3 linked regions of the Bombyx mori genome follow. The protein of the gene in region 3 purifies or fractionates together with the protein of the main gene of each other region. This does not show direct contact. Links are inferred from orthologs where the notes say so. Each region holds a gene or a part of one and is shown on either strand. Other genes may lie near its edges.

Evidence for each region.
Region 1: the proteins of T-complex protein 1 subunit gamma (region 3) and telomerase Cajal body protein 1 homolog purify together in Homo sapiens (co-immunoprecipitation; 3 studies listed by BioGRID and IntAct, with this or other methods). This does not show direct contact. The link is inferred for Bombyx mori from reciprocal best matches to the Homo sapiens genes CCT3 and WRAP53.
Region 2: the proteins of T-complex protein 1 subunit gamma (region 3) and DDB1- and CUL4-associated factor 7 purify together in Homo sapiens (affinity purification with mass spectrometry; 4 studies listed by BioGRID and IntAct, counting the BioPlex papers as one, with this or other methods). This does not show direct contact. The link is inferred for Bombyx mori from reciprocal best matches to the Homo sapiens genes CCT3 and DCAF7.

What each region holds. Positions count from the first base shown.
Region 1 is NC_085124.1:10,449,990-10,461,230, reverse strand, and holds telomerase Cajal body protein 1 homolog, read right to left. Parts: upstream 9,655-11,241; 5' UTR 9,518-9,654; coding exon 9,081-9,517; intron 8,464-9,080; coding exon 8,275-8,463; intron 7,927-8,274; coding exon 7,766-7,926; intron 6,292-7,765; coding exon 6,002-6,291; intron 5,781-6,001; coding exon 5,517-5,780; 3' UTR 490-5,516; downstream 1-489. UniProt on the Homo sapiens protein: RNA chaperone that plays a key role in telomere maintenance and RNA localization to Cajal bodies. Specifically recognizes and binds the Cajal body box (CAB box) present in both small Cajal body RNAs (scaRNAs) and telomerase RNA template component (TERC).
Region 2 is NC_085118.1:1,107,024-1,118,197, reverse strand, and holds the start of DDB1- and CUL4-associated factor 7, read left to right. Parts: upstream 1-4,853; 5' UTR 4,854-5,084; intron 5,085-5,247; 5' UTR 5,248-5,268; coding exon 5,269-5,330; intron 5,331-5,745; coding exon 5,746-5,848; intron 5,849-6,647; coding exon 6,648-6,783; intron 6,784-7,301; coding exon 7,302-7,552; intron 7,553-8,598; coding exon 8,599-8,724; intron 8,725-9,518; coding exon 9,519-9,700; intron 9,701-10,898; coding exon 10,899-11,097; 3' UTR 11,098-11,174. Other genes in the region: uncharacterized protein LOC134199889, read left to right, coding at 1-990. UniProt on the Homo sapiens protein: Involved in craniofacial development. Acts upstream of the EDN1 pathway and is required for formation of the upper jaw equivalent, the palatoquadrate. The activity required for EDN1 pathway function differs between the first and second arches.
Region 3 is NC_085127.1:10,946,271-10,956,853, reverse strand, and holds the start of T-complex protein 1 subunit gamma, read left to right. Parts: upstream 1-1,275; 5' UTR 1,276-1,393; coding exon 1,394-1,424; exon of another isoform or gene 1,425-1,425; intron 1,426-1,497; coding exon 1,498-1,559; intron 1,560-1,650; coding exon 1,651-1,827; intron 1,828-1,953; coding exon 1,954-2,151; intron 2,152-2,656; coding exon 2,657-2,781; intron 2,782-3,280; coding exon 3,281-3,476; intron 3,477-4,304; coding exon 4,305-4,459; intron 4,460-5,057; coding exon 5,058-5,226; intron 5,227-5,967; coding exon 5,968-6,060; intron 6,061-6,975; coding exon 6,976-7,090; intron 7,091-8,471; coding exon 8,472-8,647; intron 8,648-9,515; coding exon 9,516-9,641; 3' UTR 9,642-10,583. UniProt on the Homo sapiens protein: Component of the chaperonin-containing T-complex (TRiC), a molecular chaperone complex that assists the folding of actin, tubulin and other proteins upon ATP hydrolysis.

The sequences.
Region 1 (11,241 bases), on a different chromosome or scaffold from region 3:
GAAATTTAGTAATATGTAATGGCCGTAATGCGTTTGGAATTTTGGTTTGCGATTTTGAACCTTAAGCGTCTAGTCATATGATAGCATTTTTTGTCGTTTTCATTGATTAAAATCAATTGAACGAATCTGCTGTTATCTATCTATTTCTAACGCGTTTAACCAAATTAACGGATTAATGGCATTTTTGTTGTACAATTCCAGGGTTATCATCAACCAGTTGAAACAATTAAAATATTAGTTTTTGTATGAAACTAAGTACGGCTTAGACGTTTTTAACGTGATCTGCATTTTTGAAACTATAGTTCGATTTCGGCTTGACATACCCATTATACATCCTCGACACCCTGAGGTACCTAAAAGCACCGATAGTGGATCAGGAGGATCCTAAATGGCGTGTTTTGGGCGACTGCGACTTTTTACCATTCAGTCCACAGGACCAGGTAGGTATGTATTCGGAAATTGAATCATTGTTGAAAGGAAAATCTCACGTTCACAATATCAAATATTTATTCAGAGATCACATTAATACAACTACAATGACTAGAATTACACTTCGCATTAACATACATACGTAGTTTCTAAGGATATTTATATAAAAGAACTATATTATTAAATTGGTAAACTTAAAATACAGTCTATTAAAATCACTTATATATGACTTCTATGTAAATATAATATTATAGGATTCGTAGTTTAATTAGAAACCATAATCGAACTTTACCCAAAACAGGGTAAAAGATTTGCCAAAATCACGTGGATTGCTTTGAATTTACGATTTAAAATCATGTATTAAGTATATCCGCCCTACTACCGCCGTGTACTAATTATATCAACTTTGAAAAAACATTACATTTTGTGATCAAATTTTCACGCACGAAATATAAATCAACCTGAACGAACCCATACTATGACTATCGTGTGCTATTTGCAGTTGTTACTGTCTATTATTTCCACATTACACTCCCCAGAGTCCTCAGCGGAGAGCAGCGGCTTAGCTGTAACCCTGGCATTGCTGGTGAGTGACGCCGACCACTCCCTATCAAGTAATTGTCCCCTTTTCGTTCTAAGGCAATGAAAACCCCAAACTTATGGCCCTCGTGGCCTAGGCAACGCGCCAATTATGTTAACAGAATAAATGATCCGTCGCAGTCCACAAACAATAATCCACAAAGAAGTGACGTTTGTCGGTCGGCTAGATAATAAAGGGCAGGAAACAAAATTGCAAATTTCTCTCGTGTAAGCCAGATTAATGCCGACTGGGATTACCCTCGCAGCCGCTGACTTGTAAAAAGTGTCATTCGTTTTTTTGTCACTTTCGGATCCCAGTCAGTCCTACTTTTTTCTTAGATTTTTTGGTATTTCAATGCTACTGAATTTTTCGTACTTCTTCAGTCTCAGTTCTATTTCTGTCAGTCCATTATACAACTATTATACCTATGTTCGAATATAACATGAACTTATTCACAATAGACACCCGTGAAAATATTTTAAGATCGACGAAGATTACTTAATTTTGTATGTGTCATGTGTTAAGCAAATACCTACCAAATCCCGCAGTAACTGCAGTACGAATCCCATGACCCACCTTGAACTCAAAGTGTCAAATCTTCATACGTGCCAACGGTCAAACATTGTCTACGCGAGGTAGATATTTTTGGGACACTTAAATAGAAGAAAAATATAAGTTTGCGAGATCCCATACCCGTATTTTTAACCATACCCGGGAAAGGCTTAAGAGAACCTATATTGTAGAAAATTTTAAATCAAAAGACAAAAAGTCACCTTTCAATATTCTTTGAAATTCGTGAACGCATATCACATACGTGCCCTTGTTTTATTGCACATTAGGTTCTTAATTGTTAAGCACCGTCTGGAATAAATGTAAATAGACATGCTAATTAATTGTAAATAGACATAACAAAACCCAACATCAAATAGAAAAAAAAAGATATTCCAAAAAAATATATACACTAAAAACCAATAATCATCGAAATCGGTTGACGTGATATTGAGTTATGCATCTACCACCATTATCAGAACTGGACTAAATTGAAATGTGACCACACGGGAAGCGTCAGCTTTCTAATAAAAAAAGAGTGATCAAAATCGATTCACTCAGTCAAAATTTATGAGGTATCTAACAAAAAAAAACGTCGAATTGAGAACATCCTCCTTTTTTGAAATCGATTAAAAAAGATATCGTTTTACTATACGCGATAAGAATAAAAAGCTACCAGAAAAATTTAGATATAGTAGGCATATCATACCTACATAGTTAAATAAATAGTTTTTAATGAAAAGCTTTTAATTTACCATAATTAACACTTTAGTAAATGCTTGAATTTTCCTATCAAATAGTCACTTCCTCGATTCCGAATTCAAACCAATTTCAATTAAAATATAGTCAAGTAACGCAGTTGTACGACATCTTCAATTAACGTGCGAATAATTAGTAGTTCTTTCGGTATTCGTGGTCACAAAACCGGAATGGCAATAATAAGGTTTCGTTAACATTCAATATTTGTTTTTTATTTAAACACGCAAGCTTATATCAATACGTAAGCACATAGTTATAATTTAATTCTCAGAGCGTTTTTTTTTTTTTTGGTTCGTTAGGAAATCCTTAGGCTTCTAACTAGACGATAGGTTGGCAGTCTCGGAGTTGAACCAACTAAAAGCCCCTATCGCTCAACGAGCCTTGTCCAAACCTCGACTGACACAGAACTCAATCGAAACAGACCCCTCGTCTGTTTCGATTGAGGTTTCGCGCATTTTTCCTCTCTCCCTAACTTTGGTATAATCTCAACAAACAAACAAAAATCGTAGTCACCCAGGATGCCGTGATCTGAAGTTTACATGATTTTTTGTAAACCATCAACTTCTTCTTCTTCTTTTTCTCCACCTTATCCCACTAGGTGGGGTCGGCACAGCGAATTTTTCTATTCCATTCTCTTCTCTCAGCCGTCATCTTGACACTCCCTCCTCTCTGTCTCTCATATCGTCATTCACATACTCCATCCATGTCTTCTTCGGTCGACCTCTTCCCCCTCTACCTTGCATTGCTATTTCCATACATCTCCTAGTCACATGCATCATCTCTCTACTAGCTTCTATTTTTCTAGGCCATCAACGGCCTCCGGATATCGTCCTCTCCTGTATTATACATGTAAAAAATATATGTGCAAAAAATGCCTAATAAATTTTACAAAGATAGATTCCGATCGGGAATCAAACCTGAATTCTGTAGTACAGTCGCCAGGGTCACTAATCACTAAGCCTACCGGGCCATCAAATTTCATCAAGCATGTCGACGAGGATCTTGTAATCGTCGACACTTTCATGTAATATTTAATATCACGTGAAAAATACATATTTAATACTATCCTATATAATATCATTATTACATATATATAGACGAAGACCTGAAAAAGAGGTTGCAAATAGATAAGCTTTCAAACAAACAAAACGTTTAAATATTTGAGTAATATATCGTATTAGTTACGTTTCGATTGAACCCAACAATCCGAAACTGATTGAACGCGTATAAGGCAATCGTCATAAAACATTTTAATAAAGATTTACGGACGCCAAAGGTCTCGGCGTGGCAATAAAACTGAGCCGCTTTACAAGGATCTGAGGACTACAGTCAGCAAATCGATCGAGTTATCATATTCCATGGATGACGTCGACAAAACTTTACAAAGAGAACTGATATTTTATTTATGTCTAAGTACGTATTATGAAATAAAATCCTTTACAAAGAGAACTGATAATATGTTATTTATGTCTACGTATTATTAAATAAAATCATAAAGATAATTTTTATTTTTAGTCTATGCACCTTTTTTTGGACAACTTAGTCGTTTCCCCAATGAGTGAACGAATTGGCCTTAGATAATTTTGATAAGCATATACTATCTTTGAAGTGTTTTGTTACGATCAGTTGGCAAATAAAAAGAATAAACTTTTAAAGATCACATTAAGTCGCGGCTATGTGCCAGCAAAAAACAATTACTTTTAAATTCATTACACGTTTTTTGTCGTCACTCCCCTCTTTCTTCCTTAACATTAGTGATAACAGTACTTATATGTATAGAAAAGTACAATAGATTAAAATTGGCACTCAATTTTCACGAACATTCCGTTCCTAAGCCCTTTTTTTTAGAAAAATGGGATAATAATTCTAAGTCAGTCGAACATTTATCAATACAAAATTCTATTTTTGAAGGAATGTTTAAGTATTTTTGCCCGAAAACGGAATACCGTGGGCTTAAATTAAATTTATGCAATTCGCAATTGTGACTCAAAAGTCAAAATTTAAAATTCAGTCCGATCATTTCACTCTCAACACATTTTTCCATCTATCAATGGAAGCGAATCATTCCCGAAATCAATTTCGTCTCCCGATTTTCGCTAATGATTTGCATAGCACCTTTGTTGCAGCTTCGAGGGTAGTTACATTTTACACCGCGTATAACTTACCAAACATTTTTATCAAAATCTGCTCGAATATTTATCATTACAAGATCTAAAAGTTATTAAATTTTACCCTTTAATCCAAAACGTGTTTTGCGGTTGAGATAGGCCAATAGATTGCCAATTTTTCGCACATTTCTAAGCGGACTTTATGCAAGGGCTAGTCTCAATTTATAAGTATTTACATACATATATCATAACTAAACAAAATTTTGGTAGTTGTGATTTAAAAAATAAACGTTTGCGCAAATTTTCATAATCGTCTTTGCTTTCGACAATGACATGTTATCGATCTACTTGTTACTGCCGGAAACCGAATTAGCCTTGGGAAAAGTCCACTATTCGATTGTTTGATACTGTTAAGTAACGAACTAACGTGTTTATCAACATAAAATTATTGTATGTAGGTCATAAACGGAATGTTTTATTTTATTTTTATTGCTCAAATGGGTGGACGAGCTCACAGCACACCTTGTGTTAAGTGGTTACTGGATCCCATAGACATCTACAACGTAAATGCGCCACCCACCTTGAGATATAAGTTCTAAGGTCTCAGTATAGTTACGGCTGCCCCACCCTTCAAACCGAAACTGATTACCGCTTCACGGCAGAAATAGGCAGGGTGGTGGTACCTACCCGTGCGGACTCACAAGAGGTCCTATCACCAGTAAAATGTTAAATGATAATAAGTAGACCGGGAACCCCAAACTTCGTTATTTTCAACTTTATAGTTGAAAACCTTTCACTTTAACTATACTTGTAAATAGGGGGTATTTAAATAGGGTAGACAATATAAAAAATATTCTTCATATCTACATATCAGACTACTCGATAAATACTATTGAACCAAAAAAAATCACAAAGATTTTTGACACTTTCAGTTTGATTGCCAGCCAACATAAGAAAAGAGAAGGCTTGAAGGTCAGAGTCAACATAAGTCATGTAAATTTTTTTAAAGTGGAAACTCATCTATCACATTCATTTTTTCACACAACATCAACTACAAATGTATAAATTGAAATACATAAAGATTCATCTGCTTAAACACAACGACGTAGGTTTTTATTTAATTCTATAACATCCCCAGTCCACCAGAACGTCAAACAATTTTCACTGTGACTAGAGTATCGTATATCATACTGGTTAATAGAATCATCAGAACTAGAATCTACGGCTTCATTATTCGTTTTCTCACTCAAAGATTTTATCGGGTCTGTGAAATGATATTGACCAGATCCGGTAGCCAATATGGGTCTATATGGATGAATTGATATGCTATTGCAGCAATCTTTGTATAAAGGAAACTGAAAATGAAAAAGTCAAGTCAAAAATAGAGTTTAAGCCGTCAAATTAATTACCATGTAAGCAATATATTCATTAAATAGTAAAATAGAATCTCATCCAGTAGCTGTACAATTGTGATGTCATGCAGGCTTCAAAATTAAACTATTTATTCAATTACTCTTTTTCAATAAAAGCTTTTAAAATAAAGCACACAAGCTATTAATATAATTAAAAATAATACCTTATAAGTAACATCATCAGTTGTATTATTAACTGGATCTAAACTAGAATGCCAATCTATATGATCAAGTGACCAAACTTTTACCACTCCATCTGTACCACCCGATACCAAATATTTTCCACAAGGTGATATATCAAAATAAATTCGTTGGTTCGTATTTACAACTCTACTCAGAATGTTTAGTGGTTTCCTATAATACCGTATGTCCCAAACAAACAGTCTGTGATCTTTTCTTGCACCAGAAACAAGCTTCAAAGTACCAGGAATGAATTTCATGTGCGTTACTCCACCTGAAGCAATAGAAAAAATCAAAACATTTCGCAAAGCCAAATGAATATTCATGAATATGCTAAATGATTATGAATGCACTTAAAGGATTTAAGGTTTCTGATAAAAATATATACTTGTTGTGCTATATATTATTATATAACTTAGTCTGGCCATAAATACTGTTACATAAAAACTTTTCTTTTTTTTCAACTTTTTAATTATTTTGTATTTGGAACATGTATATTATTTTAAAAACTTCTTTCGATTTTGCGCCATTTCAGATATTTTTTCGTGTTCATTATCAAATGACAAAGGAATGTGGTGTTAAGGAAAATAGGATTGCAGTGATCGCCTTGCGCAAAGTGGGTATTGAGCCGTCGGTCATATTCCAGACACTTCAAATGCTAGGTATCAGCCATTATGTTGGTACATCGAACTATCAACAGATAAAACAACACTTCGTCTGTCGAAGACCAGAAAAGATCGGTGCAGCCGCGTCCTGTTACAACTACAAAGGCTTAATGCTGTTAAAGCCAGAATCCGTCGAATTAGGCAGCAAAATATCTTATAGCGAGAAATGAAGATTCCCGATAGGACTCTGTCGCGTATTATAAAACAAGACCTGAAGCTCGCAGGATATACCCTAAATCAATCTTTATAATTAAAGTGATTGGATAAATGAAAATGCCTTTTGATGCGATATGCAGGTGAAAGGCACAGAAATATTCTCTTTACTGATGAAAAAAATTTCACTATTGAAGAACACTGCAATAAACAAAATGATAAAGTGTACACTCACAGTTCTAAAGAAGCTGCTGAAATGGTAGGAAAGGTACAAAGTGGTCATCATCCTGCATCAGTGATGGTTTGGTGGGGCGTGTCTTATCAAGGAATCACAAGCTATATTTTTGTGAAAAAGAAAGTGAAAACTTCAGTCAATGTGTATCATTGTCCATGTATCCATGTCTTGGATTATGCTGTAAAACCTCTCAGCAATACACTTTTTAAAAATATACTGTGGACTGGCCCGCATGTCTCTGCACCTGGTCACAAGGCAGGAACTACCCAAGCCTGGCTTGAAACCAATGTTCCAGACTTTGTAAGAGCTGAAGTCCAGCCTCACCGAGCCCAGACCTCAACCATTAGACTTGAAATTATGGTCAGTTTTAGAGAACATGGCCTGCTCTAAGCGATACAGCGACATTGAGTCTTAAAAAACCTTTGGAGCAAGCAGTGAAATTTCCCTTGGAAACAGTGCGCAAATTCATAGTTTCATGGCCAAACAGATTAAAGGCCTGTATAAAAGCCAAAGGTGGCCATTTCAAGTAGAATATTTTTCTTTATTTTTTGCTGACTTCATTTCTTTTTACTTCATTAAAAAAAAAACATTTTCATTTGAAACAGAACTTATGGCTGGATTAGGTATATATAGGTATTGGGTATATATATAACAATATGTAACAAACGTTACACCAATTATTCAGTGCTATTTACCTCCATGTCCATACATGTCCCCAATTTTCTTAGTACCAATTTCTGATTCATTATACAAAGTTATTGTTGTATTCCAAGAACCAACAGCAACTAAGTTATTTTGTGTTGAAATGCTAGATGCTGAACTAGAAATCTTTTGCTCAGTAAATTCTCTGCCAGGCCTAAAAAATTTACTGATTAATATACAAGCAAATAAAATAGACCTAGAACTCAGGCAGGATTGCAACAATTATGTTGTTGAAGTCTATGAGCTCTAGTAATCACTTAAAACCTAGTTGTATACCAATCAAAGAAATAAAAAAATTGTCTATCTTGAGCACATTACTAACTTAATGAGTATATTAAAAGATTTTACTTCCATACAACAAATTCTCTTTATATTAGTATAGATACGATAAAAGCTTCCTGCCTTGATATAAAGTAGTTATTAGCAAGTCTAAGCTTTGCTTAAATACCCACACTGAGCATGAAATTAAAGTTTTAAGATAAATTTGATAATGAAGAATTACCGCTCAACATCAAAAATTCTTAAATGCTTCTTATAGCCAGCAATGATTTTTCTACCATCTGAGGTAAAGCTAACTGATAAAGCTGGTTCCATTTCATCTACTGCATTGAATCCTCTGTATGAACATCTGAGTGATCCATCAAATGCATCCCACATTTGTATGGGAGAATTTTGTTTTGTTGTTAACCAGCTGTCAATAAAATTATTGAGTTACATGAAAGTTAGGCATTTCTTAAGAAATCTATTTCAGCTCCTTATTTTAAAGGAAGAGAAATTATGTTTACTGACAAACTAAAATTGATATTTTATCATAATCTCAGCCTGTCCACTGCTGAACATAGGCCTCTCCTACTGATGTCCACTATGTCATCAGCCCATCTGGTACACGGCACACTGCACTTGACAGTACGTGGTCTCCATTTAAGGATTTTTCTGCCCCATCGGCTGTCAATCTTCGTACTATATGGCATTCCCACTGCCGCTTCAGCTTGCTAATCCTAGGGCTATGTAACAAGTTTGGCTCTTCTATGGATCTCCTCATTTCTGATTCGATCTCATAAAGAAATACCAAACATAGCCCTCTCTATAGGTTGCTGTGTGACACTAAGCTTCTTAAAAAGTTCCCTTGTGAAACACCATATCTCAGAACCGTACGTCATCACTGGTAAAACACATTGGTTGTACACCTTTGTCATAAGGCACTGAGCATTTTTTTAATTTTTAGATTGGTTGATATTTAAGTAACGATATTTTATATTTACATCAATTCCATTGTAGACCAAATATTGAGTTTTAAATCTCACTCACCAACAGGAAGGGGGATTTGTGCTGTTCATGAATGGGTACCAACAGAAGTCGTAAACTGAACCTGTTTCTTTTAAATGTATCACTGATTCTAAGACATCGATTATACGATCGCCACAAACAACGCCCTGGTACAATTCACTAGGAAGCTCGGTAACATGAACACCATCGTTATTGACAACACTTAAGCAACAGGTTCCATCTGGGGACCACTTACATCCACGTAAATAAGGCTGTATATTCTCATTAGCATTACGACCCCTTGACCACGAGCAAGTGGACAATTCAAGAAAGCTTTTGCTTGTAAATAATGCTGGATATTGAAAAGCGTTTTCTGTACACGCCGAACCCAATGTAAGTTCACTCGGATTTTGAGTTATGGTTTGAGGTATATTTTCAGCGTTTATTCTTGATGGTGTCTCCATTGACCAATTTTCCATAATAAAGGTAGATCACAACACAATTTGTGATTATGTATAACAAATTGACAATTATTCCGCTCACGGTTTCAAAATAAAAACAAAATCGTCGTTCGTCAATCGACCTTACCGCCTTACTTTTTTTTAAGGGATTTTATGACCTGGTAACTAAGATCTTTAGGTCATGTCTTATATTAATTTATAATATTCTTATTTTTATGAAAAATGATAATTATATGGAGTGAAATGAAATGAAATGAGATGATATGGGATGAAATATAATCTCGAGATCGGGAATGATCAATCACAAGAACGGTCGTACATACATAACAACATAATTTTTTTTTGGGGCCGGGGGCTGAACCTCCCATGAGGTTCCCCCGCCTAGGGGGCACGCAGGGTATATGAGACTTGACGATCTGCAGATGTTGGAAGCAGACCGTAGGTCCAAAATTATTTAAGGACCCTACCGCACTAAACGACTCCCCTGCCCCTTATACGGTTGCTCTTCCACAGTATGTTCGACGACGACAGCGACGACGGCAATGCGGACCGCATCGCGGACCGCTTCCGAAGATGCGTCGTCACATGCCAGCACGCTACAGTGACAATAGCGTGTGGCGCAACCTCGACTACCTCAGGTCGCCCCGTGAACATCACCGGGAGGAGACTGCTTCTTCACAGGGGTTGGAGCTGGACGAACACCCTCCTCCAATTCCCGGCTCGGTGGCGGTGGCCCGGCGCCGAGAGGAAAGAAGAGCTCTCTCTCCCCGTTCCGCCGCCTCCTTCTGCATGATGGTGGACTCACAGAAGTCGAGCATCGCCTGCCAGGGCTCGTCGCTGCCGCACATAGTCCGGACCTATTTTTGCAACGAGGGTGCGGCGCTGCTTCGCGAAAGCGGGGCAGTATGCGAACGTGTGCTCCGCCGTGACACCACAACTATACATTAACCCACAGACACAACCCTTGAGTTTCTCACCGGATCTTATCAGTAGGTCGCGATTCTGATCCGGCAATAAATTCAATAAAGCACTACTCTTGCTACAGTAGATGTTAGCAAAGTCTCTCAGGCAGGTTAGCACGGAGATTTTATTATATGTTTTATGTATTTAAATTCAGATCTCACACAACTAAAGGCGCTGTGGCGTGGCTTGTTTTATTTTAAAATATCATCAAAATTCACTCAATGGTTGTACACGTCACGCTTCAATTAATTCAAAATAAATTAACTGAAATGCAGTCAAAAAAGTTACTTTGGAAAGTATATTATCTCGCAATTTTTATTATCTTCGTTCAAGGACGGTAGGTATAACCTTTATTCATTATTGATCAAATTAGTACATTGATGAAAGTGAAATATATTTTTATAAAGTATTTTCAGTGATTACTCGTACAGTAAACATATGAAAAATAGTTCTAATCTTTTGATAATATAAGTTTAAAAACTTTAAGAACATTTTTAAGTAATTAAAACTACTGTTAAGGTATAATCTCGCGGTTTTTATTGTCATCATCAAGATCGTAATCAAGAAAACATCATCATTAAAATATCGTCAGTGACCATGAAAACTGTAAAGTATTCAAAAATTAAATGTCGTATATTTAATGTCAGTAAAAAACGTGAGATTACATCGTAAAAGTAATTTTAATTGTGTCTATAAATAGCGGAAACGAACAAAAATACTTACTTTTATGTGATAAAGTTCGCAATAAAATAAAACCTAAATATCGCAGGGATTCTCTT
Region 2 (11,174 bases), on a different chromosome or scaffold from region 3:
GTAGGCACATCACGAATGTATAATCGTATTAAAGAAAAATATCATTGGAAAAATATGAAATCAGACATTGAAAATTATGTGAAAAAGTGCATACAGTGTCAAACGAATAAGGCGCTAAGACAAATAAACAGGCAACCGATGCAGATAACCTCTAGTTCAACAGCCCCATTTCAACGCATCGCCTTAGACATCGTCGGACCATTACCAGAAACTGGTCAAGTTAAGCTTAAATATATATTAACATTGCAAGACGACCTAACAAAATACTCTACTGCCTACCCTATTAGTAATGCCTCAGCCGAAGAATGCTGCGAATGTCTCATACATTTTATATCTCTTTTCGGAATACCAAAAATAATATTAACAGACCAAGGTACAAACTTCACCGCCGACCTTTTTAAGAAAACTTGTGAATTCCTCAAAATCAAACAATTATGGTCTTCGCCCTACCATCCTCAAACACAAGGAGCCTTGGAAAGGAGCCATTCTACACTAAAAGAATATTTAAAATCATACGTTAACGAAAATCAAACCAACTGGCACAAATATGTTTACACCTATGTCCTAGCCTACAACACTAATGTACATACTACTACAAAATTCACACCCTACGAATTACTCTTCGGCCATAAACCCTATCTACCCGATTCTATTTACGATCCTAGTCCTAGTGGTACCTATCATGAATATGTTAAAATGCTAAATCATCGCCTCAAATTAACACGCGATAAAGCTTTAGAAAATATTCAGAAATCAAAAGAAAACTCCAAAACCTATTATGACCGAAGGTCTCGCCCTTCCACGTATAAAATCGGTGATATGGTATATCTAAAAAACCACTTACGTCTACGGAAAGCATTATCACCCTTATGGAAAGGACCATACAAAGTGGTAAAAATACATGGAAACCACACACTTTCCCTTCTCATAAATCGACGACACGTAAGACATCATTATGATGAAATTAAACATGCAGAAGTTGAAACCTAATAAGTATGATTGTGTAATTAATATGATTAATTATTTTATTAGTTTTATTTCCTCTCTAGTATAACTTAACTCAGTAGCCTTTAAGTTAAAAACATTTATCGTAAAACATAAATAATAATAAATACATTCTCTTACAGCCTGTCGGCACCATGTCAAGGCCTATCACGCACTCGAGAAATTACCAATATCGAACAAATTACGAAAAGCCCTGGCATTTACTTTAATCCCTCGGGATCTGTTAGGATAATTAGTGATTATTTACATGTATTAGTACCAATGGACATAGACTACATTAAACCCCATATAGATAACATTCAGACGGTTTTGCATTCAGCCAGATACTTCTGTACTAAAAACAATGTGGTTGACGACCTAGAGTGCGAGAATATGTTCATGCCCCTTTTATCTATGTTCAATGATATCTCAAGGGACTACCACGCCATTTCTCATCTTATCCAAAGTAAATCAAAGAGGTCTGCGTGGATTTCCGGCATCGGCACTATTCTTAAACATATAATAGGCACCATGGATGAGAATGATGCTATAAGGTATAATAAAGCCATTCAAATACTTAAAGATAATAATAGAAAAACTCTAGATTTGATAAAAGAAAATATCCTTATCTCCAAGTCGGCAATTATAACACTCAACGAATCCATAATTGAAATCAACACTAATGAACATAAATTAAACAAAATGATTGAAAACCTATCTTCCAGTATTAAAAACCTAACAAAGGCAAGTAATGCCTTGTTGTTTAAATCTACAATACATGACATGATAAATGTTATTCAATCAAATATGTTAAACTTGTCCTATAAACTAGAAGACATCATAAACTCAATTTTGTTTTCAAAAACCAATACGCTACATCCATCAGTCATAACACCCAAAGATTTGTATTATGACCTTGTTAACAATGTTAAATATCTACCTAGATATTCGGAATTAGCTGTAAGTTTAGAATTAGAAAACATATATGTACTTATAAATCTCTCGGAAATTATTACATGTATTTTAGAAAATAAGCTTATATTTAGTCTTAAAATTCCTCTAGTACTCATTGATACTTATACTTTGTATAAGACAGTACCTATACCAGTACCCCATAATGTAACATCCAAATCTTTTGCACTAATACTACCTACATGTTCTTATGTGGCCTTAAATCAGAGAAAATCGAAGTATCTTAAACTCGATAATCTTTCTAAATGTAAATCTATTAATAAGGAAACTCATATTTGTAAACAATTAGATGAAATAGATATACAAGACTACCCCATCTGTGAAACAGAAATAATGACAAAAGTCTTGAAATCACTTCCGAAACAGTGTAAAACTAAATTTTTATACGGCCATGCCAACATATGGCAATCCTTAAATAATAATAGATGGGTCTTCACACTATCTGAACCCACTAAACTCAACATTGAGTGCACAGACGAAACTACCGAATATATAGTTTCAGGAACAGGCATATTATCCCTGAAACCAAACTGCACTGGATTCTGCAAAAACATAAAATTAATAAGTAAAAGTTATCCTGAATATAAATTCAGTCACATACACTCAGAATTCAATTTAGTAAACGATACATGTTGTAACCCAGCAGTGTTTGAAAATTATAATTATACCGAATCTATTACAGGACTGCATAACTTAGAATCGAATAATTTAGACCAAATAATCAACAAAGCTGATAACATGCTACAAACCTTAAAACATTTAAAATCTCAGAACGAATCTATTTCGATAAGCACTCCCCATTCCATTGTCACATACTTATTTGTAATACTATTTGTTATTTTTATATGTTATTATTTTTGTCATAGAAAGTGCGTGGCTTTTGTGCGTAAATCTAAACCAAACGAAAACACGACGCAAATAAACACACCCCCACAAGAAAATATTCAACTAAATACCCAACCGCGAATAAGAATCCATTAAACTTTATATTAAAATAATCATCGAAAACTTCGGAAAGCCGTAAGTTTTCGCTTAAAGGGGGAGCTGTTATAATATTAACTAGTATATTAATTAATTTACCTAAGACCGAAAAGTGCCTCTAGCAGCACTTTCCGGCCTAACATATACTAGAGCCCCGTTGGCTCGATGTCAGTCACTCTGCGTCGTTACTATGAGCCACACTCTTTCTAAGTAGAATTTTGTATCTTCAAAGTGAATAAAATCTTTTTTAAAAAGAGTTTTTCAAAGTCCCGTATAACAGAGCGCATTCCATTACGCTAACCCGACCTTACGAATTCAGCGCATGAACGCCATTACTTCGGTTAAGGACGAGTCACGCTTTCTTTGTTACCACACTGGCCACTGCATTAGGGACCAGTTACATAATAGTTTACCAGCGTAATAAATAATAATAATAATAATATAGCATCCATTATGGATTTGGTTCGGATAGCATTTGCTGATTTCCGAACTTGGAATGATATTAATGATACAATAGACTTAACTTTGTATACCTAAGTGGCCGACATTCTAAACCCGTAGAATACGGATAACGGATACAGAACTATCCGTTACTTTAACAATTCCTGAAATTTGATCAGCATCGATGGAAGGTGTAATTAACTCACGTGGATCATTATGGGACAAAGCAGTCATAATATGTTATATTTTAACTGTTTTGTTTCTTTATTTTAAAATTTAGTTTTAGTTTATTACAGATTTAGGCTATAAAAAATTAATTGGGGCCTTCGTTTTCATTTTTGAAGATTGTTATCATGTAATCACGTTCCGTTTTCTATTGCATCTGGTTTCTAGTTACCACGAAATGGGGAACACACAACTCAGGCGAGCAGACAGACGCTCTTCGAAACGTCATGGCATTCGAACAAAGCGCCTAATAAAAAGTTTTACATTGCCAGTGTACTTTATTGCTATTAATTAAATTCGGGCACTTTAAGTATCTATAATAATCTTTAACATAGTTATGAGTTAAAAAGTTATACAAACTAATAAGTCTGTCCTTAATTTTTAATTAAGAAACTGAGACTGCCCAGGTATCTAGGCAATAAAAAAATATTATACACAATAATAGAAAACGTAAGAAATTTAGAACCTTTTTACCTACGATATCAGATCAGGAATATGGAAATTCGCAGGAAAACCGTAATAACTGACATAGCCGAAGGAATTGTGAGATTGAAGTGGGCAGAGCATTGCTCGTAGAACAGATGGCCACTATGGCTGAAACGCTTTCGAGTGGCGACTGTGTAAAGATGTAGCTTGGGTGGAGCTCCCACAAGGCAGACCAGCTACCTGTTAAATATAGCGGGAATCCGCCGAATGCAGACAGTGTAGGACCGGTCGTTGTGTCGAGGCTTTGGGGGGGCCTTTGTTCAACAGTGGACATCTGTGGATATTGTCGTTTATTTAACTTTCTATACATAGCCTGGTTTTACTACTCATTCAGTTTCGAATAGGTAGCTTACTCATTATTGAATTTTTACCAGGCATATGTCTTCAAATCCAATTTCGTCTTATTGCAGCCAATTTAATTTATTTTTAAATTATTTCATTTTCATTCATAAAATAATTTTCATTACACTTTTTTAACAACTAACAGAGATTCGACATATACTAAAGTAGGGACCCGCCCTTGCTTCAGAAACTGTAATTGATTATTGATTTCTCCACTATTTAATGGATGTTATTATACATATAAACCTTCCTCTTCAATCTCTATCTATTAAAAAAAGCGCATCAAAATCCGTTGCGTAGTTTTAAAGATTTAAGTATACATAGGGATATAGGGACAGAGAAAGCGACTTTGTTTTATACTATGTAGTGATGAGGTTTACTCGCAGATGCTAAATTCCCGTTGCCTAGTCAAAAAACGAAACGAAAAAAAATTAAAATGTCAGATTGTCCTACTTGCCAGTTGTCAAATTTTGTAAAAATAATGCTTCATGCTTGTTTTCTCCACACAAAACTAAGTTTTTAGTTAATTTCCAATTATAAAATACATTAATTGAAGGTACAGAAGCTCATGGACAGTTCAATATTTAAATAGGTATATTTAAATCAAACATAACAAAGCCGCTTGGTGGCCATTCTGTGATATTACGGCAAAGGTACATAAAATATATATTTTTTGTAAATTTAAAACCATATGTAAAAATCTAAAAAATATAACTTGAAAGGTATGAAAACTTACGTACTTGAAAGACAAAAAAAATAAAAAAGTCACTATTCATTAAAATTTCATATAAATATCATTTTGATTTGTGTTTTCAGAAACATTAAACATTATCAGTGATGTCGATGCCACACAGCAGTTCGAGTACCAGTTCAGGCACGAAACGTAAAGAAATATACAAGTAAGTAACGTTACAACACAATATGAACTATAAATAACAGATTGGAAATAATTGACAGTATAAAATACAGAGTTGACCCAATTTTGAGATTGCTAATTATAATTAGGTATAGCGTGTTATTTATTTCTGTACCCATTCCTATGTTTCGAAACATTTGTAATACAATCAAGCAGGCATTATGGGACTTACTAATTTAATGCTTTAGATGTTTTGAAATATACAGATAATCCTTTCACAATTCCCGAAAAGAACTAAAGTGATGTTAACAAATTGCAAAAACAGCCTTATCTTGATAATTACGTACGAAATTTGAGTTGTTCATACAGTTAGGTTAAATTCTCATAAACGAAGTTGTGATAAAAAAAAAACACTATAAGCTAGACAGCTGCATTTCTATGTCACACATCTTTTACAGATACCAAGCGCCATGGCCATTATACTCAATGAATTGGTCTGTCAGACCTGACAAGAGATTCAGGTTAGCCCTGGGCAGTTTTGTTGAGGAATACAACAATAAAGTAAGCTTTTACAGAGCAGTTATTATATTAATTTAGTAATTTACAAAACATACCAACAGGATTAAGTAAATACAGTATAAAGGCCCAGATAATGAATCATGCAAAGCTAATGCAATTTTAGGGAAGTCAATTTGTCAAAAATTTCCCACTCATTGAATTATAAAAGATAGAGGTGTGTGCCTTATAATCTATAAATGCATAATATTACCAAAGAAAATACACAATAAATTACATATTTTTGTTGTTGTTCATTTTTCAGTAGTTGACAGAATTGGTAGGAGCACTTAGTTTGTGGAGGCTGTTCTTATAGACCAAGTAGACAAATACAGCAAGAAAAAAAAAATTCTAAGTAATTATTGGTGCATAATATTACTTACTTAATTCCACCATTAAATTAGTAAAAACTCAACTACATACTACTAATTAGTTAATTGTTTAGCATAATATACAAACATATAGTAAGTAAACCAGGAGTTCCCAAGATATATAACCCACTTAGACACACAATAACTTGACCGCAAAGGTTTTAATTGGTGAGTATGTTGTATGAATAGGAAAAGAACTAGGGATAGGGTTTTTTAAATAATTTGGGTATGGGGTTTTGAGGTATCAGTTCATTTTAAAAAGGGGTCTGCCAAAAATTGTTTTATATTACCTAATATAAATGAATTTATTAGTTTTCACTACATTGAAGGATTTTTAGTGAAAACTAATATATTAATGGTTTCATTTAACACACATACTGTATTGTAGCATTCCTTGTGCATGACATAAGCTTAATAAAACTCTTAAATCCTAGGTACAAATAATTTCCCTTGATGAAGACACAAGTGAGTTCACTGCAAAAAGTACCTTTGATCACCCGTACCCGACCACCAAGATTATGTGGATACCTGATAGCAAGGGGGTGTATCCAGACTTGTTGGCAACTAGCGGTAAGACTTCGGTAGCAGTTTGTTAGCACTAAGATTACCATATTTAATATGGAGATAATGAGGCTTGAATTTACTTTTACACTGCTACATAGACAAAAACATATACTCCCAAAAATAATGCTTACAATATCATCTCTCTCTAGAGAAACAGTATTCATGATAGTCTTTGAGCTCCATAAACCACTGAATTGTACTTAACTGAGCCTGTCTATCTCCTTTGTCGTCATATCACTCTTGTCAGAGCGGTTGTGGTCGTCATTCAGCATCATTGCTGAGGGCAGATGTTATGCGCCTCACAAGCAATCGCTACTCCTCCCGGTTTGTGGTGAGCCTGGTACACTCATGCAAACAATAATAATCAATCTACATAAATAAAAATAAGTGATACCCTATGAGTACAATATGAATGATTGTGATGTTAATAGAGGCAACTTTCGTTGACATAAACAGTTTTGATAAATAATCAAATTCAAGTAAAACTATTCAATAAAATTTCACAATGGTGCCTTATGTTGCAGGTGATTATCTACGCATATGGCGTGCCGGAGAGCCGTACACATTATTCGAATGTGTCCTAAATAATAATAAGAATTCTGACTTCTGTGCTCCTCTTACATCCTTTGATTGGAACGAAGTGGATCCTAACCTCATTGGCACCAGTAGTATTGACACGACCTGCACCATCTGGGGCTTGGAGACTGGACAGGTCTTGGGCAGGGTCAATGAAGTGTCTGGGCACGTGAAGACTCAGTTGATCGCTCATGATAAGGTTTGTGATTTTTATTTAATAGAAGATCTTGTTAATTCATTTGTGTCCAAAATTTATGTTAATGATTATCTGAAGATTATTGGTGTCTTCAAAAAATTTTCGTTCTGCGAATCTAGTATAACCCCTCGAGGTTACAAGAATATGTTGAAAAAAAAATTTTTTCAAATCAATGTATTCAAATATGTTTAAATCACTTATTACAATTTTGACATGATACATATTTATCAAACTAAAGAATTGCAGGATTGAAATGGGCATGTTACATACGTGCCCGATTTCATAATGATCACATAACATTTTAAGTTTTAATGTAATCATAAGCATGTAGTGTGAAGTATATTCAAGGATGCTCACAACAGATACTAATAGAATTTTATTCTATTGGAGATTCCATTAAAAATCTATTAGCATACACAAAACTGGTGGTAGGACCTCTTGTGAGTCCGCACGGGTAGGTACCACCACCCTGTCTATTTCTGCCGTGAAGCAATAATGCGTTTCGGTTTGAAGGGTGGGACAGCCGTTGTAACTATACTGAGACCTTAGAACTCATATCTCTAGGTGGGTGGCGTTATTTACGTTGTAGATGTCTATGAACTCCGGTAACCTCTTAACACCAGGTGGGCCGTGAGCTGGTCCACCCATCTAAGCATTAAATAAATAATAATAAACAAAGCCGAACGTATACGCCCCTATCTGGTTTTATACACCTTGACATAATACAAGATGCACTCTGCGTGTACATCTTGCTAGACACTGTAAAGTGATGGTTACTTGAACAATAATTTGTCCTTGTCTAACTCGCCTTAGAGAAAGGTGGCTGAACAAAACTTTATATACATGTGGGGGTATACGAAAAAAAGGTTCGACGGTCCGAATGTGGTCGTTCGGAACCTGCATATAGGCAAGCTTATTAAGCTATAGCAAGCTTGAAAATGTCGTAAGCGAGATTCGGGCATCAGTCAAATATCTTGTGTCGTGTGATGGCTACCCGCCACATGCAACTTCTCGCGTACGGCAGCCCTAATGCCGGTGTTTGTGCGCAGGAAGTGTACGACATAGCGTTCAGTAGGGCCGGCGGGGGGCGAGATATGTTCGCTTCCGTGGGCGCCGACGGATCCGTCCGGATGTTCGACCTCAGGCATCTAGAACATTCCACCATCATTTATGAGGTAAGTACAGGAGGCAGTAAGCAGCGTCTTTCGGCGCTCGTGCATGGGCGCATACTATCATTATTTGGACATGTCTCCCGGCGAGTAAATGACTCCATAAAGCGCCTTATCGTTCAGGGCAAAGTAGAAGACACCAGACCGCGTGGAAAGTTGCACATGCGATAAACTGACCAGGTCAAGTCAGCTATTGGCGGCTGTTTGCCTGAGTGTACCAGGCTCACCACAAACCGGGAAGAGTGGCGATTCCTCGTGAGGCGCATAACATCTGCCCACAGCAATAATGCTGAATAACGACCACGATCGCTCTAACAAGAGTGATACGACAAAGATAAAGATTCAAGAGGCCTGCGGCACGAATGACTAACACAATGAAGGAATGCCGCGTTAAGTCCGAGTTAGTTGACCATGTACTGTGGTAGTAAGACGTCTTGTGAATGTGCACGGATAGGTACCACCACCCTACCTATTCTTGTTGTACTGTGAAAAGTGAGGCCTTAGAACTCATGTCTCAAGGTGGGTGGTGGTATTAACTTTGTACACATCTATGGATTCCGGTTACCCCTTTAGCACTACGAGGGCCGTAAACAGCAAAGTAGAATCGGCAAAATTGCGGAATTTTCACTGTAGGTAGTAAGATCGATATCACAGATCTGCAGTATCGGGCTGCAAAACAGTCGTCTGTGAGGACCCGTGCAGTTTGCCTGTGAGCGCCACGAACTGGTCTGATCGTGTTTATGTTGAGAAGCTGCTGTCAACATAACAAGTCTTATGGCAGACTGTAATGTAACACGCAGGACCCTCAGCACACCCCGCTGCTCCGCCTGGCCTGGAACAAGCAGGACCCGAACTACCTGGCCACCATCGCCATGGACGCGTGCGAGGTGATCATACTGGACGTGCGCGTGCCCTGCACCCCGGTGGCCAGGCTCAACAACCACAGGGCGTGCGTCAACGGCATCGCCTGGGCGCCGCACAGGTTCGTAGGCCAGGTAGTAAAGTAGGAGCATCAAGGTTGCTAAACAAGCCCATCCGATATCTCCTCCTCTGGGACTGTGTTCCTCAGCGCATTATACGCAAAAGATAATTTGCGTAATGACTGGTGGTAGGACCTCTTGTGAGTCCGCACGGGTAAATACCACCGCCATGCCTATTTCTGCCGTGAAGCAGTAATACGTTTCGGTTTGAAGGGTGGGGCAGCTGTTGTAAGATAATGTAATACTGAGACCTTAGAACTCGTATCTCAAGGTGGGTGGCGTATTACGTTGTAGATGTCTATGGACTCCAGTAACCACTTAACAACCGGGTGGGGTGTGAGCTCGTCCACGCACCTAAGCAATAAAAAAAACAATGTTCTTGTCGTCAAGTTCTTAGAACTCTTCAAACTAGACTGTGCAGCCGAAAACACCAACTTTTGTTCTAATTCAGTCCGTAAGGTATGCTCCTTGTATTGTGAACGGACCACAATAATATAAATAATAGTTTAAAAAAAACAAAAGAAACGCTTTTATAGAAAATCCAACTAAAAAATAGAAAACAAATTTTAATAAATTTGTTTTTGTTGTGTTTGTAAATGTGTTTTTTAAAATAAAATCATTTTTTTTACACTATTTTTAATTCAAATTTATTACAATTTATTTTATATTTTTTAGTTGGATTTTCTATAAAAACGTGTTTTTTTTTATAACTTTTTTTTAAACTATTTTTATTTTTCATTTTTTAGTTGAATTTAAAAAATTAAATTTTTTTTTTTAATATTAAAATGTCATCGATCCTTAATAAGTATGCCAAATTTCGAGTTAAACCGACGTTTTGAAGGGGGTCAAAATCACGTTCAAAGATTCCGATACAAACTAACATACATACGTCTCATAAAGCTTATTAATAAATAATAATTACAAAATTTTAACCCTCAGACACAGCCCACTGAGTTACTCGCCGGATCTTCTCAGTGGGTCGCGTTTCCGATCCGGTGGTAGATTCTGCGAAGCACGGCTCTTGCTAGGGTTCGTGTTAGCAACGTCGTCAGGTTTGAGCCCCGTGAGCTCACCTACTAGTTAAAGTTACGCTGAAATAGCCTCTCAAAGCTCTCAGCATAGGTAGAAAAAAAACAATTAGAATAGTATGAATTCTTTTGTGTTATTTCGGTTCGTTTTAAAGTGAAATTTTTAATTCAGTTCTTGTCACATCTGCACCGCCGGAGACGACCACCAGGCCCTCATCTGGGACATACAGCAGATGCCGCGCGCCATAGAGGACCCGATCCTCGCCTACACCGCCGCCGAGGGAGAGGTCAACCAGATCCAGTGGGGCGCCACACAACCCGACTGGATCGCCATCTGCTACAACCGGCACGCCGAGATACTGCGCGTCTGAATATATCCTGATTGTACAATCCGGTGTGCAGTCGTGTGGACTGTAACCCCTGAAGCCGGCGTGTAGTTTGACGGTAG
Region 3 (10,583 bases):
AGCAGCTTTGTTTCATTTTCCCACATTTGTGCACTTTCACAGATATTAAACGGTTAATAAACCACCATTATTACACATTTAAACCTGAAGAAACACTAAATAGACAAAATAAAACAAATCACACAACTTCACTCCTCGCGTTCCCGCCAAAAAGTCTTTTATGTAAGCGTTTAACATCTGTCCATAGATTATACACTTAATATATTTACATCTGTCAAAGTGTACGAATTACTACGAATGAGGGGTTTAATATCGTTGAACGTGGGTTCCCGGATCAGACTTCACTGAAGTTTCAGCATAATGTATTGTACAGTAATTTATTTTATTTGCAGCACTGACATCGGAAAAAGACGATTGCCATGTTGAAAAAAAAATGAAATCCATTATTAAAAGCGGTACCTAGGTACTATGGAGGGTAGAGGTAAGGAGAACCGTCTCATATGGAGAAGCTTGAAAAAGTTTCCCACTTTCAGCACTAAATAACAGTTCAAAAGTCCTCCAGAATGGTTTTAGCATAGGCACAGGGTATGATATGAATTGAGTGGTTTTTAACTGATTGAAGTATGCTGAGTTAGGAAATTTAATATATTTAATGACTAGAGTAGTTAGCGACAGTGTAATATACAAGACCTCACATGTTTACGGAGTCCAAACTAATTTCGTCAATATAACCTAAAATTTTTGCTGTGGTGAAACGTGGAGACATCGATTGCATTTTCTTATCAGCTTTAAATAAAATACTTTTTGTGATTTTGTACCTTACAGTTCTTTTGTCCTTTTTTATTTCTCTATCTTATTCTAATATACTTCAACACCTTTCTTAAAATTTACCTGGTTGCTACTATGGCGCCACCCTTATTTAGCAGATTTTAACGGACACTTTTTCACAACAGAGACGGTTTCCTTACCTCTACCCTCCATACGGCTCACTGAATTTGTCTCCTCTTTTTTGATTTTCGGTTTTTATTTATTTTTAGTAACTTACTCGTCGTTTGTTCGTTAATGTTCGAATGTAAAAATTGTTTCTTCGTCTTTTATTTATTTATAATTAATTAAACAAATGATCACCTTTAAGTTGGCCCCTTTTATTAGATATCTTTATTTTTATTGCTCAAATCAATTTTGATCAATTATCGTTTGTTCGATGACTATTGGTGATTGTTCGATCATAAAAACAATTAAATTCCCAATTATTAATTATTTCATATCTAATAAGTAAAGCTTAAGTAGAAACTTTTTATTTTTTATGAAATGTAATCTATGGTTCTTTTTCAGTGTGGCAACTAAGATCAACACGCGATTTTCTTGTCTCTCATAAATTTGTCATTGGGCACCGATTTTCTGGAAGAAGTTTTTGTAATTTAAATAATAAAACACATTTAATTTTTTCAAAATGTATGGACAGCAACCTATATTAGTTCTCAGTGAGTATCTTAACACTTAAATATGATAAATTTATCAAGAAACACGTTCTAATTCATCATATTCGTTTCTCAGGCCAAAATACAAAACGTGAGTCCGGCCGGAAAGTTCAGCTTGAAAATATTAGTGCAGGAAAGGTATTTAAATTAAGAAACTTGAAAATATAAAAATTTTCACCATAAACTTGATTTAAAACGCGAAAAAAACCTGTACTTACTTTTGTTTTAGACCATAGCCGATGTTATAAGAACATGCCTCGGACCTCAGGCCATGTTAAAAATGTTAATGGACCCTATGGGAGGCATCGTGATGACCAACGATGGTAATGCTATACTCAGGGAAATCACAGTCCAACATCCAGCTGCAAAATCTATGATCGAAATCGCAAGGACCCAAGATGAAGAGGTTAGAAAATGATTTTTGTAGATAATCATGTACCATGATCTGTTAATGCCTAATATTAGTATTATTTATTTGAGTGTCTGTGTTGTATTGCATCTAATTATGAAATTGAGTCTTATCTATTTGAAGGTTGGAGATGGAACCACATCAGTCATAGTGCTAGCAGGAGAAATGTTGGCGATTGCAGAACCTTTCTTGACACAGAATATTCATCCAACAGTCATCATCAGAGAATACCGCCAAGCTTTAGAGGATGCTATAGTTCTGCTTCAAGACAAAATTTCAGTGCCTGTAGATTTGAATGATAGAGATAAGATGAAAGAAGTTGTAAGTAAAATAATAGTTTTAAGTAAATAGTTTGAAATCGTAAGTAAAATAGTTGATATAAACAAAATTAAATCATTACAGTCCCTGACTTGAAATACGCTTGCTACATGCTGCAACTTGTTGATAGTTGTGTTACAAATGATTGGACTGTAAAAATTAAAAAAATAAAAAAGTTTTTTCTAAAATAGGGGTAACAGTACTCTATACTTTATAGTTTATACTTTATTTTCCTTGGGGAGTGTTTTATGGAATTATTTGGGACAATCCCATGATATTTTTACCACTGCACTGCCTATCACCAAACCAGAATTCTTCCAAACAACTATGTTATGTAAAATGCAACTATGGATTGGGCTATTTTCAGTCTTTGAGTGATATAGCATGGTCTTATTCAATTGACATTTGAGGAGAATCCTCAGCTGAAGACCGGTGCTTGACTATGTCATTGCATCATATGTATTGTTGATATCCATTATTTGGCAATAAATTTAAAATTTATTAACAGATTCGTTCATGTGTTGGAACAAAGTACATCGGTCGTTGGGCAGATCTTGCCGTAGACATTGCTCTTGATGCGGTTAATACTGTTACTGTGAATGATAATGGCAGAATTGAGGTTGACATTAAAAAGTAAGTATTACACATTTTTATACAGAAAAGCAAAATAATTTCACAAAAGCTACAACTTGATATCAAAGGCTTATAATAAATATACTGACTGACTCTGGCTGGGATACAGTTGCTAAATATATCACCAATGTGATGGTCAAGGTATACCATTGATTGTAGTTTATATAACAGTTCACAAAGTAAGGATATATCAAGGAATCATTTTTGACAACAAATACCAGATGTGATAAAATAGAAAAAAAAAAATACCTTGACAATTAGAAATAGAGTTAAAGTTGACACCTTGGCCAAAATCAGCTAAGGAGAGTAGATGAAGTAGTGTGTACTATGATATAAGAGTGTAAAAAAATGAAACAAAAAAGGACCAAAATGAAGTATCTGCGTAGTTAATGAAATGAAGATAGTATTTTGTATGTGACACAATATATATTTTTTTATCATTGTCTTCTTAAACTTACCACATATGTCTCAAAATACAATTTTAATAAATCATTTACAGTTATGCAAAAGTGGAAAAGATCCCAGGTGGCACAGTTGAAGAGTCTCGTGTACTCAGCGGTGTTATGTTCAACAAGGATGTAACCCATCCAAAGATGAGGAGGTATATTGAAAATCCGCGCATTATCCTGTTGGATTGCCCACTTGAATACAAAAAGGGAGAGAGTCAGACCAACATTGAGATTATGGGTGAACAGGTAAATAATACTGTGCAAGTTTTATACTTTAAAATTACTAATTGGACCCATTAATTCAATACAAATGAGACTATGTCCTCATGTCTTTGTGGTGGAATTCATGTACCAACACCTAGCCAACATTTGATTGGCTGACATGGGTTGTAGGTTTGCCAATTTAAACCAAAAAAAGAAGAGTAATTCGAAAAACAAAAAGATTGAGAAATTCCTTCCATTGCGAGTACATGCATTATGATATTGGCCATCTTTACATGAAGTTTAAGTTACATTAATCAAAGTGACATGGAATATTACAATGTCTGACAAAGACATTTGTATGTTGAATAAAAACAATGGTTGATATGGCAGTGTCTTTTTAAATTTCTGATCTGACATTAAAGTGGTTGCCACAATACCCAGTGAATAATTTTTGTTGTGTAATTGCCAATGGGTAGTTAGTGTCTATGGAAAATTCCTGATTTCTAGACTTATTATATTGAATACTAGCTGATCCGGCAAACTTCGTAGTGCCTCAATCTATAAGTAAAAGACCTAAATTTTTGTATAAAATAAACTTAAAACAAACAAAAGGAATCCGTCCGACGGAAGACACATCAAAGGAAAAACAAAATAGTTATTTTTATTTAATTCCGAGTATTTTCATATTTATATACCTTTTAAACCTTCTCTGGACTTCCACAAATAATTCAAGATCGAAATTAGCCAAATGGGTCCAGCCGTTCTCGACTTTTAGCGATACTAACGAACAGCAATTCATTTTTATATATATACATAGATTAGAATGTAGAATTTGACTGATCATAACGAACATGATTTTATTTATTATAGGACTTCACTAAACTGCTACAACTAGAAGAGGAACATGTACAGCGTCAATGTGAAGAAATTATTGCACTTAAACCAGATATTGTCTTTACCGAAAAGGGAGTTTCAGATCTTGCACAACATTACCTTGTTAAGGCTGGAATTACTGCTATCCGCAGGTATGTATTTTCACATTGTATAATATGTGAATAAAGCCTTCTTTGTTTTGTTTCATTGTGACTGATGTGCTGCTTTAATAAAAGGGTAGTAATAATTTAACACATTTTTGGAGGTAGTAAGTACCACACTAACTAGTGGTATCTCTTATTTTGAGCATGCTATCATTATGTCTTGTAACTATAAATAATACTATGTCTAATAATAATGTAATGTAGTAATAATAATGTAATGTAGTAATAATAATGTAATGTAGTAACAATAATGTAACTATAACACAGTAAATCACCATGCTTTCTGATTATAAAGATATTCTGGTACATTTGACGCATGTACATTCTGGTACATTTGAGACTATGACTTGATAGATGACCTATGTGGAGGGTGCAGTGAGGGTTTGAGGTTTATGCAGATCATAAAACTCACACACTCGTAACCACTTAACATTCAATCAACTATTTCCGCTTTGTGAGCAATAAACTAAATTTTCGATATGATTGGATAGAATTATTGAGTTCAGTTCTGTATTTGCCATTACAGTATTGAGCAGACACCTTTAAAGTTTTATTTCTCAGTTTAATTAATTGAAAATCATTCTAGACTCCGTAAAACGGACAACAACCGTCTAGCGCGGGCGTGTGGAGCAACAATTGTCAACCGTACTGAGGAACTCAAGGAATCCGATGTCGGCACTGGAGCTGGACTGTTTGAGATCAAGAAGATCGGAGATGAATATTTCACTTTTGTCACTGAATGCAAGAACCCCAAGGTACTAAATTAATTATATTTAAATCACTAATCTGCTCACATTCTGCTGTGATTATCATTACTTGTATGTAAGACATAGATTTCTTGAAACTATTCACTTACCACCTGTCATGTCTTGGTACTGTAAAATAATTATTCCCTGAAGTACCAGCTACAGCTACCAAGTCTCAAAACAATTGAAGAAGTGCATTAAGAATGTATGGAAGAAAAACACACAAACACTTAAATAGTAGATGTTATTACTACTTCATCTTTTTTTTTAAAATAAACTCACTATTAAACAGTGTTTAATATGTTTGGCGATTCTTAATGCATCAAACATGATAACAGTGAGTGTTAAATTGTCTGGTTAAATAATAAAGGACGATGACAACATTGATGTTGATGTCTGTGGGTTGCAATCCCTTAACATGAGACGAGAGCTCGTTCACCTATCTAAACAATAAAAAAGAGCATCAATGACCTACTGAGGACAGTGCAGCGTAAATTACCTTGATTAATAGTATTGTTGTTGTTGTCCTAGGATACCCCGCTAGTACATAGGGCTCTCACAAGTTGTCTCCACTTTACCCTGTCTTGCGCTTGCTCCTTGACCTGGAGTGATTAATAGTATACCTAACAATAATTTCATAGTATTACAATAATAGTTTAACGATATGCATTTTCTCCTCTCAACTATTAAAATGAATATAGAAAATGAGTAAAATAAAATGGAATAATAATCTAAAAATACATTTTGAAGGCATGCACAATATTACTCCGTGGTGCTTCTAAGGATGTCCTGAATGAGATTGAAAGGAATCTTCAAGACGCTTTACACGTCGCCAAGAATTTGGTAAGTGTATTGACACATTATCTATCTACTGTATATGAATTTGCATTTTTTTTTCGAATCGTATATTCGATTAAGAAATCATTGGTTTAAAAAAAATACAATCTTTCTTATTTTATATAATTATATAAAGTCATTGTATGATTAAAAAAAGAGAGAACTAAGACATTTGGTAATTCCAATAAATGTCCACATTTAAAAGTATGATTGATTTTCAAAATGTAATACAAAACAAATATAAGTGTTAATTTATTATTTTAAATGCCCATTCTGTCCTAATGATTTTAAACAGAACTCATACTAGAGATACGTTATTAGTTAGTACTTAGGGTAAATATAATTATTTTGTGTACTTAAAATGAAGTTGTTTAATATTGTTATTCATTTTCTTACTATTGCAGAATTAATATCTATACATATAAATAAAATTGGAGTGTCTGTTTGTAATATTGAAATAGCCTCTTTTTACTACATACATATGAATATATATACGGTACATATACCAAAATAACATTTTTTACAATTTTTGTCTGTCTGTCTGACTGTTCCGGCTAATCTTTGGAACGACTGGACTGATATTGACGGGACTTTCACGGATAGGTAGCTGATGATATAAGGAGTAACTTAGGCTACTTTTTTTAGACTAGCTCCGCCCCGCGGCCTCACCCGCAGTTATTGTCGTACCGCGCCAAACATGGCGGGACTCGCCTATCAATAATAAAATTTAATGTTTCCGAAGCGAAGCGAGGGCGGGTCGCTAGTTATAATTAAAAAGGTTGTTTATTTTACCTTTTTTTTTACAGAATTTTTTGAAGTGGTAGAATTAAATTGCCCATATTATGATATCGATATATCCATCATGTACAAATACATAATGATGGTATTGAAATTGATTATAATATAATGTTGTGCGTGCAGGTGGTGTCGCCGCGGCTGGTGGCGGGGGGCGGCGCCGCGGAGATGGCCGTGTCCAGCGCGCTGTCGCACCGCGCCGCGCACAACACGCCCTACAGGGCCGTCGCCACCGCGCTCGGTACTAGCACCCCGCTGTATACCTATGCTTAGCTAATAATATATAGTACAGTACACTGTGAACGTGTCCATAACAACGTATGCGCTATGAAAGAAGCTTCAAGCGGCCTACGCACGACCCTAAAATCAGTGGCGATATCGGGACGGCAGTGGTGGGGATAATCGTCGTGAGCTCGCCCCAGCGATTTTTAGAGTTTATGGTAAACAATAAAAATCGGGTTACGATTTGATTATACACGAGGTGATTTAGGGTCTTCCCCACCACTGTCCCGATATCGCAACCGACGTTACGAAACATATTATACGACATACGATTTAAGGATCAAATTCAAATGACAAGCTATTATTCACTGGGCTGAAGCGGTGCCGTTGCAGTGCTTGCATAGTGTGCCATGACCCTTACTCAAACCTTTAAAGGCGGAAGATCCTCAAAACAACTGGCATATACAGATCTAATCAATCTGCTTAGTTTGATCCTCGCATATTCTGCCAATATCATGGCCGATTTTTATGAACTTCATTACGATCAGTGAATGATAAAATTATATTTACATTTTTGTATTGTAGATAATGCGAACACAACAATAATTCTGATTTTTTTCAATACTAGAAGTAAATAGGAAAAATTTAAGTTTAATATTTAGAATATGAATCTCTAGAGATTTTAATACTTGCAGGCTGCACTGCGCTCAGAACGTTACGTAATGCCAGAGTTCCGCGTGCTTAGTGCGAGTTTCTTAACGTTCTCGATGGCGTAAAAGTTAACCCAATTTTGTATGCAGTTGGAACAGCGCCCCTAGCGGCAAACGTACGCAAACGATTTCATACAAACATGAGTTAACTTTTACGCTATCGAGAACGTTAAAAAATTCGCACTGAAGGCGGTTGGCACATAAAACTTGAACTGACCATTAGAATTTGTATTTTATTTTTATTTTTTAAGGGATTTTATGACTTGGTAACTAAGACCTTTAAGTCATATCTTATTTTAATTTATATTCATAATTGTATGAAAAATGATAATATGGAGTGAAATGAAATGAAATAAAATTAAGATGATTAATTTGAGATCAACTGGGATGAAATGAAATGAAATGAGATGAGATGATATGGGATGAAATATAATCTCAGTAAAATGATGGTCGTTTACTGACATTTTTTCCAGTGGACTTTTTGGAGGATCCCGAGAAGTTATGTCCAGCGGCTTTGTTACATTTTCCCACATTTGTGCACTTTCACAGATATTAAACAGTTAATAAACCACCGTTATTACACATTTAAACCTGAAGAAACACTAAATAGACAAAATAAAACAAATCACACAACTTCACTACTCGCGTTCCCGCCAAAAAGTCTCTCGAATTTGTATAATTGTGTTGCAGAGATAATACCGCGCACGCTGGCGCAGAACTGCGGCGCCAACACCATCCGCACGCTCACGGCGCTGCGGGCGCGCCACGCCGCCGGACTCGCCTCCGCCGGCATCGACGGCGAGACCGGCGAGATCGTCGACATGGCCGTCAAGGGGATCTGGGAGCCGCTCGCCGTTAAACTGCAGGTCCGTAGACCACACCATCCTGCATCTATGCACTGTAGCCTTCCCGGCTAGGTACCGCGGTTCTGCCTACTTCTGCCGCGAATCAGTTTTGAGTACCAGTTTGAAGGCTGAAGCGGTCGTTTTACAATACAATTGAAACTTAACTTTAGATCTTAATAGCTTTATCATCAAGACGTCAATAGGGATCAAAATTATTTAAGTTGTATGCAATAGACGCCATATTCAATGAGACAGACAAAATATATAACTAAAATGAATACATATAATGACTTACAATAAACAAAAAACGCCAACGCTTCATAACAATTACTATAGTGTATATCAAAATAACAAATAGGTCGCCAGGTTTTTCTCCCATTTTTATCGCAGACGAAGCCTATACGGATCTCCTAAGAGCTTTTTTTTTACCTACCTACCTGAGAGCCTTGAAAGGCTATTTCAGCGTAACCTTAACTAGTAGGTGAGCTCACGGGGCTCAAACCTGACGACGATGCTAACGCGAACCCTAGCAAGAGCCGTGCTTCGCAGAATCTACCGCCGGATCGGAAACGCGACCCACTGAGAAGATCCGGCGAGAAACTCAGTGGGCTGTGTCTGAGGGTTAATTTACTCGTCAAGCCCTTCGTCGCAAGCAACTGGTTCGACGAGAACGGTGACCGGTGACCTCCTAAGAGCGAGTGATCACCGTTCCTTATTAAAATGACAAATGCCATGCCGTTGCCTAACACTTCCTTAATTTGTTCGTTTGTTTCATGAGCGGCGCTCTGATACAATTAGCCTCCGAATACACGATGAATACGACGAATCTTTTATGCTATTAAAAAATGAAACATTAAGATATAACATTAAAATGAAATTCGTACTGCAGGTGTACAAAACAGCCGTCGAAACAGCGATCCTGCTGTTGAGGATCGACGACATCGTGTCGGGCTCCAAGAAGAACAAGAACAACGAGCCCGCGGCGCCGGCCGAGATGGCCGCACAAGAAAACTAACTTACATAATATTATTAGCATTTAAGCTCGCTTTTGGGACTAATCTTGACCGTAGTTCAGCAGATGTCATTCAAATTACACGGTCTTGGGCAGTCTGTTCTAACTCTTCCCACGTCATACCCAAGACCCCTAGCTCCTGCTCCACCGAGCAACGCCAAGTTGCTCTGGGGCGGCCTCTCTTCCTTTTTCCAGACACTTTCCAGGTCAGTGCTCTCTTTGATTTATAGATTTGGAGAGAACTTAACGGTAGAAAGCGGCCTGGTTCTGCTCCTGGCATTGCTGAAGTCCATGGGCTCTCCTCTGCCTACAAGGGCCATAAAAAATATCTTTTTCTTACCCTTATCCCAATATCCAAATATATTATGTCTTTTGAATATCAATTTGATTTTTTTAGTTTAAACCGACCAAATTGTGAGTTAAATTGTCAGTCAGGATAATTAGTTTGTCATCGGTGTTGTTTTTTTTTCATTAATTCAAGGTTCACAGGAATTCAATAAAATATTTTTAATGTTACTTTCAGTTCTAAGTTCAGTAATGTGAAAACCGATATGAATTGTTATATTTCGATCAGTTAATATTTGATTTATGAGTTTAGCAAATATCATGTTCAAAAATTACTTAGTCTTGTTTTGACGGATTGAGTGTGCACTGCTGAAATACGTTAAATTTTGACACTGGCAACATTTCATCGACAGTTCAGCCGAGAATTTCAAGTTATGTCCCAAAGGATTTAGAATTTCTATCGCTAGCTAACTATTTGTTTAATAATCTTAACTACGGGAAGTGAGACCGATCACAAATGCTTGTCTTATATTTTTGTCTTATAATTACAATGTCTTATTTATGATAATGTATTTTGAAAAAGTTGTCTTTTTTTTTTCGGATTATAGTTTAGTTTTGTCTGGCGCTGACTAGTGTTAGTGTCGTCAGCACCGTGAGCAT